Tamandua tetradactyla: one gene and its partner. The protein of the gene in region 1 binds, or shares a complex with, the protein of each later gene. Links are inferred from orthologs where the notes say so. Each region holds a gene or a part of one and is shown on either strand. Other genes may lie near its edges.

What was found. Proteins that work in one complex are often made in the same cells at the same time.
Region 2: NUP85 (region 1) and CETN3 share a complex: the UniProt entries of both Homo sapiens proteins name them as parts of the nuclear pore complex. The link is inferred for Tamandua tetradactyla from reciprocal best matches to the Homo sapiens genes NUP85 and CETN3.

What each region holds. Positions count from the first base shown.
Region 1 is NC_135332.1:15,620,020-15,627,069, reverse strand, and holds the start of NUP85 (nuclear pore complex protein Nup85), read right to left. Parts: upstream 3,019-7,050; 5' UTR 2,938-3,018; coding exon 2,677-2,937; exon of another isoform or gene 2,643-2,676; coding exon of another isoform or gene 2,619-2,642; intron 1-2,618. UniProt on the Homo sapiens protein: Essential component of the nuclear pore complex (NPC) that seems to be required for NPC assembly and maintenance. As part of the NPC Nup107-160 subcomplex plays a role in RNA export and in tethering NUP96/Nup98 and NUP153 to the nucleus.
Region 2 is NC_135347.1:40,872,320-40,879,709, forward strand, and holds the start of CETN3 (centrin-3), read left to right. Parts: upstream 1-4,319; 5' UTR 4,320-4,455; coding exon 4,456-4,472; intron 4,473-6,288; coding exon 6,289-6,424; intron 6,425-7,390. UniProt on the Homo sapiens protein: Plays a fundamental role in microtubule-organizing center structure and function. As a component of the TREX-2 complex, involved in the export of mRNAs to the cytoplasm through the nuclear pores.

The DNA of each region.
Region 1 (7,050 bases):
TCAACAAATAGTGCTGGAACATATGGATATCCACTGGGGGGGGGGGGGGATAAAAATTAAAAAGTAAGAGCAGAATCTATAAAACATATAGACAAAGCAAAGGAGAACATCTTTTTTACTCTGAATGAGACAAAGATTTCCTAGAACACAAAAAGCACAAACCATGGAAGGCATAAAAGAAAAAGATTTATAAAGGACTTCATTAAAATTAAAAACTTTCCCTCTTAAAAAGATATTGGAAAGTGAAAAGGCAAGCCATAGATTGGGAGAAAATATCTGTAAAGCATCTAATTGATAAAGGACTTCGGTCCAGAATATATAAAGAACTCTTACAACTCAAGAAAAACAACAACCAGATAGAATGGGAGAAAAATTTGAACACAGTTCACCAAAGAAGATATACAAATGACATATAAGCATGTAAAAAGATTCTCAATATCATTTGTCATTAGAGAAATATGAATTAAAATGACACTGAGATACCACAACACACCCACTAGAATGGCTAAAATGATATGACTGATCATACCAAGAGTTGACAAGGGTATGGAGCAACTGCATTTCTCACAATTTGCTGGTACAGGTGAAAAAAAAAATGGTATAGAAGAACTGAGCTTCTTCTAGCTAAATATGCATCTACCCTAACTCCTAGCAATTCCACTTACCCAGAAGAAAGGAACGTGTATGTGCAAACAAACAAAAACTACCAGCTTGTACAGGAACACAGAACAGCTTTATTCACGGTAGCCAAAAATGGAAACCCAAGTATCTATCAACAAGAAACATGATTCATACAACATAACAAATCCTAAAAACAATGAGTTCTTGAAAAACACACACAGAAAACAAATACTGAGCTAAATTTCAAGAGCAGGCAAAATTAATGTATGGTGCTAGAACTCAATGTGTGGGATGGTGGAAACTGACTGGAAAGGGAAATGAGGCTTCATGTCTGGGTTTCCATGGGTCCTTGAACTACATGTAATTACATGCATGGGGCATTTTTGGAGGGAAAATTTGACTATAACTTACATTTCTTAAGCGTCCTTGACCCCAAAAATAAATTAAAAAGGCTAAGACCACTGGTCTAGATGAACTACCCACCCAAGACTATCCTACTCTCTTTAATCTATGCTGAGACATCACTGAATGTGCTAATTACCAAATTGCCTTCATGTGCCCTGATAAGAAGCAGTTGCCTGAACAGCAGACAACTACTATAAGAGGTATATTAATAAAATGTTATTCAGGTATTCAGGGTTATTTATCATTCTCTTGAGAGTCTGATTAGAGTAAACCCAAAGCACAGATTAACTCTCAAATACAGAAAACAGTTTCATTTGAATTTGCAGAGTCCAGGCTTAGAGTTTGGACTATGAAATTCTTCCAAGATGGTGCCATGCAGTGAGGCTCTGTCCACAGGCAAACCAGCTTCCTAGCGGGTCTCCCCAATACCAATGCAGAATGTGGTTACCACAAATTAATCATCATCACTTGGGGGAGGAAGGGGGCCTAGCTGAACATTTTGTCCCTTTTGAAAATGCATATCCCAGTATCAGAGAAAAGGTTCTCCAGGGTTTGACAGGGAAGTTTCCCTCATTCAAAGATTCTGACATAAGTGGACTGTGAAACGAAAAGACGACATATACTTTCAAAAAGTTATATCAGTAATCCTGGTTTTCTAATTCTTCTTCTTACATACACCACCAACATTGATATAAATACTTGATACATATTAAATATTTAAACTTTACAGCAGTAAGCTCAATAGAAAGTAATAACCATGTTAGTTTGCTCCTACTTAATATCTCATGTCTTATTTCTGTCTATTTAGCTTTGAAAGATCCTTATTTTCAATGTTTGGTTTGTCATAGACTGCTTTGCAATCTGGTGGTTTTAGATGAAAACTGTTGTCATTTCAACTTTCTAAAAAGCAAAAACACACGCTCAGTTAATTACAGTTTGTTAACAGCTAAGAAGTACAGAACTCTGAAAGCCTATAACAGACAGGAGATAGTTCACCTACTCAAGGTCAGGGTAGGCTTTCCTGAAAATGAAGCTGCTGGTGCTTGGATTTGAATAGTGAGTAAGAGATAAACCAAAACCAAAGGGGGGACTATTCCAAGCAGAGAAAGCGGTAACTAAATAGTATCTAAAACCTAGGAATCTATTTATAAACATTAAGATCATCCGCAGTTGACACTGTTCTCGAGTTCAAACGGAGTTGAATGCAAACAGAGCAATGAAACTAGCAATAGTCTCCCGAGAGAATAAGTTTAATAAACCTCGGGCCAACACTGTACAAACAGCTGACAGAGTCCAAGCTCCCGGCATTACGATGTGGAGTTTAGTTCGGCTGGAAGAAAAAATCTTCCTTCTGCTTGGTCCAAGCCTGCTCTAATACCCAAGAGGAAAGGCCAGGGGAAATGGGAAGGACCGGAGACCTAGGGAGGGAGCAGGCCCTCAGGGGACAGGTTTCTGAGGGAATAAAAGAGCAAAAACCCAGTTACCACTGCAAACCCAACTCTGGCATCTAGTTAGTGTCGAGACCTCCCGACCGTGGCCAATAAGCCGACATTCTCGAGGGCGGTACGTAGGTTAAAAAGCCCAAAACGTACAAGCAGGCACAGCCTTCGGACCATGAGGGCAAACAAGCCTATTCGGGGATGCCCTTACAGTGACTACTGGCTCGCCATCGAAATCCTCCATGTCGCCGCGACCCAGCCGCCCGGAACTCGCAGGGACGCCAAAGCTCCAAGGCTCCCGCTCGACCCGCCTGCTCGCAGTCCGGCTGGCAGAGAAGACCCCGCCTGAGCGCCTCCTGCACTGCCGTTCAGGCCCAAACCCTCCAAAACGGCAGGCACCTCTCTTCTCAGTCACAACCCGTCTTCTGCGGCCTTCTAAAACTATCGCTCCTTCCTGGCCTCGACAACACATCAGGGAAAACAGCCAAGGCCACTCTGTCCTCACAGTAATTCTCCGCACCGATCAGGCGCCGCCGAGGACAGCCCCGCGAGCGCGGCGCGAGCGGCACCCCGGGCGGAGGCGGCGCGGGTGCGCGTGCGTGGCCTGGGGCGGCTCCTGGCGCTTGGGTCCCGGCCCCGCCGTGTGGAGCGCGCGGTTTCCCGCGTGGCCGGCTCTGCTCGCCTCCTCCTAGTCCCCTTGATACAGTCGCTGCTTCTCCTGGCGGTGTCCAAGGAAAGGGAGCCCCGTCGGCCCAACGGACTTGTGTTCGAAGGCAGTAGCCGCCACTCCCACCCCAAAACACAGGACGTACTTGAACGAAACTGATGCCGCTGAAACAGAGACAGATAGGCTGGTTTAATTAAGCACAAACACTGGTTTTCTTTCTGCAAATAAAGGCCGGGACCAAACAATAGCAATCAGGGAATCCGTGCCTCTGTTACAGAAAACTTAAAAGTGCCCCCAATAACTTCAAATTGTGAAATTGGTTTATTTTCAATGCCATATAACAGTTGTCAAGTAAGAGAATAGTACTTTTTCTGAATTTCTTATGTAAAGGACTTTTCGAACGAACTAAAGATATTTGAAATTTGAAAGACTTAAGAATGCCTGAAAATGTAGCAGCTTCCTTTATTTAGGAAAGAAATTATTTTGAAAACCAGACAAATGTATGAGTGCCCTACCTGGAAAACTTCTTTCCCTGAGGTTATTCCGAATAATCTATTTGTATTAGTGGAAATAAGATGACTTCGAGAGTTAGGAAAATCCTCTCACCCCAATAAAACTTTAAGGGTTTTTTGTTTTGAACACGATTGTTAACTAAGAGAAGGAAAATCAGTGTCATCAAAAGCCCTGTCACTGAGGTCAGACATCTGTAGGAAGAAATTTAGCATAGCCTTACACAAAACTCCACAGCGTTTCTACCATCTGTATTTTGCTGCATATTCCAAATGGTTCACAAAGTTTCACTGATCTTTTTGTGACTGCCTTAGTGATCAAACCCGGGGGGTGGGGTGGGAGGTTCTCTGCCCAATTTACACAAATGAGCAATTCCTGAGACGAGGGTTTCACTGGGAGAAAGCATTTATTGCCAAGTGCGAAGCAAGGAACAGATGGCCTGTGTACCCAAAATCTTTGTCTCCAAACTACAATAACTCTGAGAGTTTTATAGTATCAAAGGCAGGTTTTAGGATAATGAGTAGAATGGCTCACAATGACAAAGTTAGAGATGATCTAATTAAGCATGCACAAGTTGATTACATGCCTAGATAGAGAATATATATATAAGAAGGTGGTGGCTTTAACATGATGATGGGTATGACTTTTAGTTTTATCATTAGGTATAGGTCACATAGGTTAAGGCTTACCCTACTGCACTTGGCAAATGGGCCAATTTTAGTTAGATCCAGTTTTGTCTAGTAAAATAGCTTAGGAATTGGGGTGGGTTCTGGGCTCCTTAAGTTACTTCCTTAATAAACATTAAGAGGCTGTCTAGTTATCACAAGACTTAAATGTTATAAAACAGGATAAAGGGGTATAAGCGGGGCCAGTTACAAATTATCACAAGGCTTTTACAATCATAAGATAAAGAGATAATCATCAAAATCAAGGCATCTGGTCAATGGCTGAGAGATTCCAAACAGGGTCGAGAGGTTATCCTGGAGGTTATTCTTACGCATTAAGTAGATATCACCTTGTTGTTCAAGATGTAGTGGAGAGGCTGGAGGGAATTGCCTGAAAATGTAGTGCTGTGTTCCAGTAGCCATGTTTCTTGATGATGATTGAACAAAGATATAGCTTTCACAATGAGACTCTGTGAATGTGGAAACCTTATGTCTGATGCTCCTTTTAGCTACTATATCAACAGAAGAGTAGAACATATGGAATAAAAATAAACAGGGGGAACAGGGCAGTTCACGGTGGCTCAGCAGGTAAGAGTGCTTGCCTGCCATGCCCAAGGACCTGGGTTCGATTCCTGGTGCCTGCCCATCTGAAAAAAAAATAATAGGGGGAACAATGTTAAAATAAATTCAGTTTGAAATAGTGGTAAATGAAAGTGAGGGGTAAGGGGTGTGGTACGTATAGTTTTTTTTTCTCTATTATCATTTTATTTCTTTTTCCGTTGTCTTTTTATTTCTTTTTCTAAATCGATGCAAATGTACTAAGAAATGATGAATATGCAACTATGTGATATTAAGAATTACTGATTATATATGTAGAATGGAATGATTTCTAAATGTTTTGTTTGTTAATTTTTTTAAATTAATAAAAAAAATCAAGGCATCTGGGTTAAGGTTCAGGGAGTCTCAGTAGATTCAGATATTTACTTTGGCTATTCTACAATTACTCGAAGGTAAAAAGGTATCTATATAATGATTCAGTCATCATAATCATTTGTTAACTCTTAACCTCTCCGAAACAACTGGTACCACAATGGGGCTTATGAAGTATGAGCATGATATATTTATGTCCAGTTTTAAAGGGGAAAAAAGAGGTCCAATGTTTCCAAAAGGAAAATAAACATTCAGTAGCAGATAGATGAAATTTTTTTTGTTTTATTTTTTTGCATGGGCAGGCATGGGGAATCGAACCCAGGTCTCTGGTCTGGCAGGCAAGAACTCTGTCTGCTGAGCCACCATGGCTTACCCTAAAATAGCTTTTGTATCTGCTTTGGCTATTCAAAATTCTTGAAGTAGAAGTTAAAGCCAAGTTTGATAAGACATTGATACTTAGAAATCATTCCTGATTTCCCTCAGAGAAAATTCTCTGAGACAAGATGGGCGTAGAAGGAAAGGAAAAGATCACAGGACAAAAGACCAAAAAGAAAAACCATCCTTTGCAAAACATAACTTAAGGAAAATTTAATTTGAACAAATGAAAACAAAAGAGCTTAGAGAGATATATAAAATAACTAGAATATGCAAATTAATAAAGACAGAAAGTAGAGTACAGTGTTCTAGCTGGCTACAATGCAATATACCAGAAACTCAGTGGCTTTTAAAAAGGGAATTTAATAAGTTGCAAACTAACAGTTTTTAGGCTGAGAAAATGTTCCAATTAAAACAAATCTATAGAAATGTCCAATCAAAGGCATCCAGGGAAAGATATCTTGGTTCAAGAAGGCCAATGAAGTTCAGGATTTCTCTCTCAAGTGAGAAGGCACATGGCGAACACAGTCAGGGTTTCTCTCTCATTTGGAAGGGCACATGGTGAACACCACGTCATCTGCTAGCTTTCTCTCCGGCTTCCTATTTCATGAAGTTCTCCGGGAAGCCTTTCCCTTCTGCATCTCCGAAGGTCACTGGCTGGTGGACTCTGCTTCTCCTGGCTATATCATTCTTCTCTGCTCTCTCAGAATCTCTCGACTTTCTTGTTCTCTAGCTTTTTCCAAAGTGCTTCTTCTTTTAAAGGATTCCGGTAAAGCCAATCAAGACCCACCCGGAATGGTTGGAGACACGTCTCCACCTAATCAGGTTTAACAACCACTCTTGATTGAGTCACATCTCCAGGGAGATAATCTAATTGAAGTCTCCAACATACAGTGCTGAATGGGGATTAGAAGAAACTGTTGCTCCCACAAGGCTGATTAAGGTTAAAACATGGCTTTTCTAGGGCACATAAAGCCTTTCAAACCAGCACATACAGGTTAGAGGTTGTGGAAGGAGGGATGAGGAGTTAATGGGTTTCTGTTAGAATGATGAGAAAGATCTCGTGATGAATGGTGGTGAGGGTAACACAACACTGGGAATTTGTTTTAATCCACTAAAGTATATACACTACATATGGTTGCATATCTATTTCCACATTAATGTATTTAATGTGGAAATCACATTAAACACATGCCTTTGAGTATAGGTTGTACCTATAATGATTCTTGAACACTTTATACTTCCATGTACAGTTCCAAATTACACGTTCCTGGATTGGATCTAATAATGGAGGAGAAAAGGCCCAAAAGGACATTATTGAGACATATGAAAAAATTAGTATATAGACTAAGCTTTATATCCATGTTAAATTTCTTGCACTTAATAATTTTACTTAGCGTGATTACATAAGTGATTATCCTTGTTCTTAGGAAATTAC
Region 2 (7,390 bases), on another chromosome or scaffold:
TGCAGAGAAAGTTAAAAGTATACTAGAGACCACAATAGAAGATTTGAAGAGGCAGAAAAAAGAATAAGTGAATTAGAAGAAAGGACAATTGAACTTGAATGCATACAAGGACAAATGGCAAGAAAGACGGAAAAAGCCAAACTAGATCTCAGGGAAATGATAGATTACATAAAGTTCACAAATATAAGGATTATCAGTGACCCAGAAAGAGAAGAGAAGAGTAAAGGGATAGGAAGGCTAGTTAAAGGGATAATAGGAGAAAATTTCCCAACTCTTATAAAAGACACAAAGATGAAAATCAAAGAAATCCAATGAACCCCAAATAGTATAAGTCCAAATAGGCATACTCCAAGACACAAGCTGATCAGAATGTCAAATATTGAAGAAGAGCAAAAAATCATGAAAGCATCAATAGAAAAGCAATTAACTACATATAAAGGAAACCACATAAGACTGAGCTCAGACTACTCAACAGCCACCATGGAGGTGAGAAGGCAGTGGTATGATATATTTAAGATTCTGAATGAGAATGATTTCCAGTCAAGTATTCTTTAACCTGCCAAGCTATTCTTTAAAATTGAGAGAGAGATTAAAATCTTCACTGACAAAAAAAGGCTAAGAGAATTTGCCAAAAGAGACCTACCCTGCAAGAAACACTAAAGGGAGTTCTGTCGACTGAAAAAAGAAAAAGACAAAAGAGGAAGGTCTGGAGCAGAGTATAAAATTGAAGACTTACAGTAAGGGTAACTTAAATGATTATATGAGAAAGAAGGAAAAGAATATATAGGTCTGATAAATAAACACTAAAGGTTAAGACGATGATTCAAGAATGGCCTCTACAGCAATAGCTCTGTATGTTAATGGACTAAACTCATCAATTAAGAGAAAGATCAGCAGAATGGATTAAAAAATAAGATCCATCTATATGCTGCTTATAAGAGACTCATCTTAGACATAAGGATACAAATGAATTGAGAGTGAAATGATGAAAAAAGATATTCTATGTAAGCTCTAACCTAAAGAAAGCAGGGGTAACTATATTAATTTCAGAAAAATAGACTTTAAAATGTACCGACATCATAAGAGATGAGGAAGGACACTATATATTAATAAAAGGGACAATTCACCCAGAAGAAATAACAATCATAAATTTTATGCTCCCAATCAATGAGCTCCAAAGTACACGAGGCAAATACTGGCTAAATTCAAGAGAGTAATTGACATTTCAACAATAATAGTGGAAGATTTCAATACATCACTCTCCTCTATAGGTGGGAACAACTAGGCAGAGGATCAGTAGAAATCAAGGAGAATTTAAACAATGTGATAAATGAATTGGACCTAATTTATATATATATATATATGGATCGTTACACCCTAAAATACTAGGACATTCTTCTCTAGTGCTCATGGAACATATTTCTAGGATAGATCATATATGGGAAGACAAATCAGGTCTTTGTAAATTTAATAAGATTGAAATTATTCAAAACACTTTCTCTGATCACAATGGAATTAAGTTGGTGTGCTGGTTTGAAAGGATGTCTATCCCCTAGAAAAGCCATGTTTTAATATAAATCCCATTTCATAAAGGCAGAATAATTCCTATTCAATAATCCCTATATATGTTCAAAACTGTAACCAGATCATCTCCCAGGAGATGTGATTCAATCAAGAGTGATTGTTAAACTGGATTAGGTGACAACATGTCTCCACCCATTTGGGTGGGTCTTGATAAATTTCTGGAGTCCTATTAAAGAGGAAACATTTTGGAGAATGAAAGAGATTCGGAGAGAACAGAGAATGCTGCAGCACCACAAAGTGGAAAGTCCACGAGTCAGTGGCCTTTGGAGATGAAGAAGGAAAATGCCTTCCGGGAGCTTCACGAAACCAGAAGCCAGGAGAGAAAGCTAGCAGATGATGCCATGCTCGCCGTGTACCCTTCCAGATGAGAGAGGAAGCCTGACTGTATTCGCCGTGTGCCTTCTCACTTGAGAGAAACCCTGAACTTCATGAACCACGATACCTTTCCCTGGATGCCTTAGATTGGACACTTGTATAGACTTGCTTTAATTGGGACATTTTCTAAGTCTTAGAACTGTAAACTAGCAACTTATTAAATTCCCCTTTTTAAAAGCCATTCCATTTATAGTATATTGCATTCCGGCAGCTTAGCAAACTAGAACAGTTGGAAATTAACAATCACCAAAGAATCAGAAATTTCACAAATACATGGAGATTTAATAACACACTTTCAAACAATCAATGGATCAAAGAAGAAATTACCAGAGAAATTTGTAAATATCTGAAGATGAAAGATAATGAGAATATGACATATGAAAACTCATGGGATGCAGCAAAGGCAGTGCTGAGAGGAAAATTTATTGCCCTAAATGCCTACATTAAAAAAGAATGAGTAAAAACTGAGGACCTAACTGCTCACCTGAGGAACTAGAGAAAGAATAGCAAACTAACCCCAAAGCAAAAAGAAGAGGAAAAAAAAAAAAAGATTAAAGCAGAAATAAATGAACTGGAGAACAACAACAAAACAATAGAATCAACTAAACCAAAAGTTGTCTTTTGAGAAAAGCAATAATATTGATGGATCCCTAGCTAGAGAAAAAAAGAGAGGGTGCAAATAAACATAATTAGAAATCAGAGGGGGTTGTTACTATGGATCCTGAAAAATTTTTAAAAATTATAAGAGGATATTATGGAGAACTATATGCCAACAAACTAGACAACTTAGATGAAATCGACAAATTTCTAGAAACATATGAATTAACAACACTGTCTCAAGAAGAAATGGAGATCATAACAAAGCAATTACAAATGAAGAGATTCAATTAGCTATCAAAAGTCTTTCTACAAAGAAAAGTCCAGGGCCGGATGGCTTCATAGGGGGAATTTTATCCAATGTTCCCAAGAGAATTAACAATTTTTCCACATTCTTTCATAAAATTGAGGAAAAAGGATCACTACCTAACTTATGAAGCCAATATCACTTTAATACCAAAACCTGATAGAGACACTACAAGAATAGAAGATAGACCAATTTCTCTAATGAACATAGACGTAAAAAATCTCAACAAAATTCTAGCAAATCAAATCCAACCATACATTAAAAGAATTATACATCACAACCAAGTGGGATTTATGCCAGCAATGCAAGGGTGGTTCAACTAAGAATATCAATTAATGTAATACAGCTTATTAATAAATTCAATGGGAAAAAGCATATAGTCATATTGATTGATGCTGAAACAGCATTTGACAAAATTTAGCATCCTTTTCTGGTAAAAGTACTACAAAAGGCCACCCCCCTTCAAGCTTTGTTTCCTACGCTGCTGTGCTCTTTCCCTTCTCTAAACTTATGCACATTCCTTATACATGTTAGTGTTACAGATTGTTCATCTTTCTTCTCATTTATCCTATCGCCAGTCTAGCTTATTCATGTTTCTAATTTGCAGTTTAGTTCAGTAGTTTGTGAAATTTCACAGCAAGATTCCAATTAATGCAACAAATATTTATTGAGCAACTATATATGTCAAACACTGTTTTAGGTAGGCACTAGGAAGAGAGTTAAATGGAAGAGACAACCCTGGGCTTCAAGAAATTCACCTTTCAGGGGAGTAAACACAAGCAAACACATTAAATACCAAAAGGAGCTTCGGAAGCTTGCTTCAGTGGTGAAGATAACAACAGGTGTAAAAAGCGCTTACAGCACCAGAAAATAACAAAGGACATTAGTGAACAAAACCATTCAAGTGAAGATGCGAGGAGAAAGTGCAATTAGGTACAGCTTCACCGTCAACAGCCAAATAATTCAACCCAGTGATTATCCAAGATCTGCTAGGTTCACTTGGACAGTCTATAAGGAAAAAAAAAGTAGATTTATACCTATTGGAATCAGGGGGGTAAGAGGTACTTAAATTTGCGGTATGAGCAATCTCCCCATGTATATAGGCCACGCAAAGTTTTAGAACATAGTGGGTTCAAATTCTATAGCTATCGTGCCCCAGCTGCACTCTCTCTATCTGGAGGGTAGCTTGGGGCTCGTCTCTACCATTCCTTCCTCCGAGTAAGCGCCCTGGCTGGCTTCCTCGCGTGAGGCCAGGGTCACCCACCCGCCGCCTAAACCGGCCGCGCAAAGGATTCAGGGAAATAAAGCATCTGGCCAATCTAGAGGACGAGCAGGGCAGTAAGCGACATGCGGCAGGAAGTTCCTTTGATTGACGCTAAATTTGCCCAATGGGAACATAGAAGTAATGGGGCTCCCGCCCGAATAGGCAGGACATTAGTGATTTTCAACCAATCCAGCTCAGAACTGTATCTTGTGGGAGGTCCTCGAGGACTGTGAGGTCGTTGTTGTCTGTTGAACGGCTTGTTGAAATCGTGCTGCCCTGGGTAGGGGGTTAAGATCGTTTTTGAGGAACGTCTCTGTCCGAGGAGAAAATGAGTTTAGCTCTGAGGTCGGTAATGAGGAGGCCGTAATGCCGGAGTGGGACCGGTTTGTGTGTGAGTGTGTGTGTGTGTGTGTGTGTGTGTGTGTGTGTGTGTAAGGGAGGTAGTTTGGGTCCGAGGCGAAGAAAGAGAGGCGGGAACGGTGGACGGAGAAGGAGCCACGGCCAACATCCTGGGTCTGGATCCCTCACTCAAGGGTCCCGCGTGTCCGCAGCTGTTGAGTCCTGTGCATTTCTGCCGAGTTGGTCTTTTCTGTCACCCCTTGTACTTCGGCCCACCTAAAAGGTGGTTGCTGTGCTTACGAGCGAGGAGGGGATGAATTATCGCGAGATTTCTACTCAGGGTGCTCCTGGGAGAAATCCGGCTGTGTAGCAGCTTTTAATTCAGGGGCTTGTTGCCAATTTCCAGCCTCCACCTTTTCTGTCCCAGTGCTAATGTCATCCAGCCGTACATTTTGGAAATATCACAAAACTCGCTGTTCTCCTGGGGTATATGGCATAACTGGGGATCTGTTTTACTGATTAATAGCCCATCTTTATCTTGGAGTTCTTAAATGTCTTTTCAGTTCTAACCTCTAATCCTTCTCCGCCTGTTTCCCCCCTCTCCTAATTCAGTCATCAGTGTAAAAATTTTCAGATAGTTAAGTCACTCTAAAAGGTTCCGTGTTTTGCTAAGGGACGACTGTGGTACCTTCTGATGGGGTCAGTTGTCGGTTGCGGATTTTCTTCTCGGAATCTTGGAATAGGAATGACTGACCCCGGGAAGTGTCCAAGCTTGTGTGAAGTCAGGTCTCATGTGAAATAAACATCTTTCTCATCCTTCATCTCCTTGTCACTTTCTAGCCATCTCTTCTTGCTTTTTTGGGGTAGATTTCAGAGACCAAAATGACCTTCAAATGCAAATAGATAATGTGTTCCAATAAAATCAACTGGGTTTACATTTTAAAGTTTTGTAAGAACCTATTGGCTTTTAAAAACTTATTCAAGTGTTATAGCTTATTTGAAAATTTGGAACATTTTTAGATCTCTTAAGATACTTGTGCTTTTTTAAATATTTTTTTCTTTAGACTTTTCCATAGTTTATGAGAAATTTAACATATAATTTACTTGTTAAATGAGACCTAGAAGACCATTGACTTTCAGCAATTAATATTCATATATTTAGACTCAATATTTTGGCTAAGTTAATGTCAGTGGAAGAATTACAGATACAATGCTAATCTATTAGGAACGTGTAATCTAAAACATTTTGAACCTGTAGTGCCAAAGTACTTTATAAGTTAGTAAATAAATTGTATGTTTTGTTTGTGGTAATTTTGATAACTACAAGTACTATCAAAAATACATAAAATATATAGCGATATTGGTCATTTATCATTTGACTTTGACTTGGAGGTTTTTTAAAACACTTTGTATTGTAGCGTGATGTAAATAATAAGTACAGGTGCTACAAGTGCTTTGCTTTTTTTTTTTTTTTTGACATTTCTGACTTGAAAGTAATGTTTCTTATTTCCAGTTCTTGTTTCTTCCACAGTAGTATTAGTGGTGTTAGAAGACTAAGGAAAATTAGGTCCTTAATTCTTTTAATAACCTGTAATGCAGTTCATTCTTAGGAAGGGCAAATTTATAGCAGCTAAAATTGTGGAATGAGCAGAGAATTCACTGGTAAGGAAAATTTCTCTTTCTCTAAAATACTTCCCTTTTAGAAATTTAGAAAATCATTCATTGGCTGTTTTTTCTTTGCACTTTTGCAATCTTAGTCATTTAGAAGCATACGAGAATAGGATTAAAATGGTCTAAAGGCTTTTTTTCCCCTCATTTATAGAAATGAGTTTGTAGTAGACAAAACAAAAAGGAAAAAAAGAAGAGAACTCTCTGAGGAACAGAAGCAAGAAATTAAAGATGCTTTTGAGCTGTTTGATACAGACAAAGATGAAGCAATAGATTATCACGAATTAAAGGTAATAGTGTACTTTAGAAACTATATTTCTCAAAATTATTTGCATTCTTTACAGTTGCTTAAAATACGTTTCTAAATAATTTGACTAACAAATTTGTTTTGGAAATATGAAACCATTTTAAGCATTCATAGTAAGGTGCTATAATAAGGCTGAATAGTCTCCCTGATCAGGTTTTTAGAAAATCCTTTTCATGTGGTATTAAAATAATTCGTATTTTAAGTGTAAAAATATATCCCTATCGAAGGTACTTGTTTTTCATTTACATAAATAAAGGATTTCAAACTATGGGATGTAAACAGTTCTTATATTCTTCCCACTTTTTTTTTTGACATGTTCTTTTTCAGATTGGGGGGAGTGTTATTTGTTTTTTAATTTGAACATTTATTAATACGGTTTCAACCTACTTTCTCTGGTTGCAAACCTAAGTCTTGTTTGATGTTGACACAGTGCTAATGGAGGAAATTGTCAACTTTAAAGCCTAGTATTTATAGACATGCAAAGGAAAATTGGCATTTAAGGTAGTAAGGGTCTTATACTAGGTACAGTGAGAAAGGTGGTATTTTGAGATTTTTTGTAGTCTTTGGATAGATGAAAATAAATGTTTATTTGATAGTTTTAATTTTGGTACTTTTGTAAAGAGGGAATTTTTAAGCACAAAAATTCTGAGTAGGGAAAGTGGCTATGCAGTGACAGGCTAGAGAGCAGTAATAGGCCTATAAATCTGACTTTCCCAGTCTCAGGTCCTCTATCGCTCCCTTCCCACTGCTTTTTAGTCACCCAGATTTGATCAGTTCTTCCTTTATAATGTCTCTTCCATTTGTTGACATTATCAGCATCTTAGATTGGGACCTTATTTTATACCTAAACTTCCTAATTCCTAAATGATTTCTCTGTTTCTAGTTCACCCTGTGCAATACCATTTAGAGTCATCCTTCTAAAATTCTTCTTTCACCATGTTGTTCATTG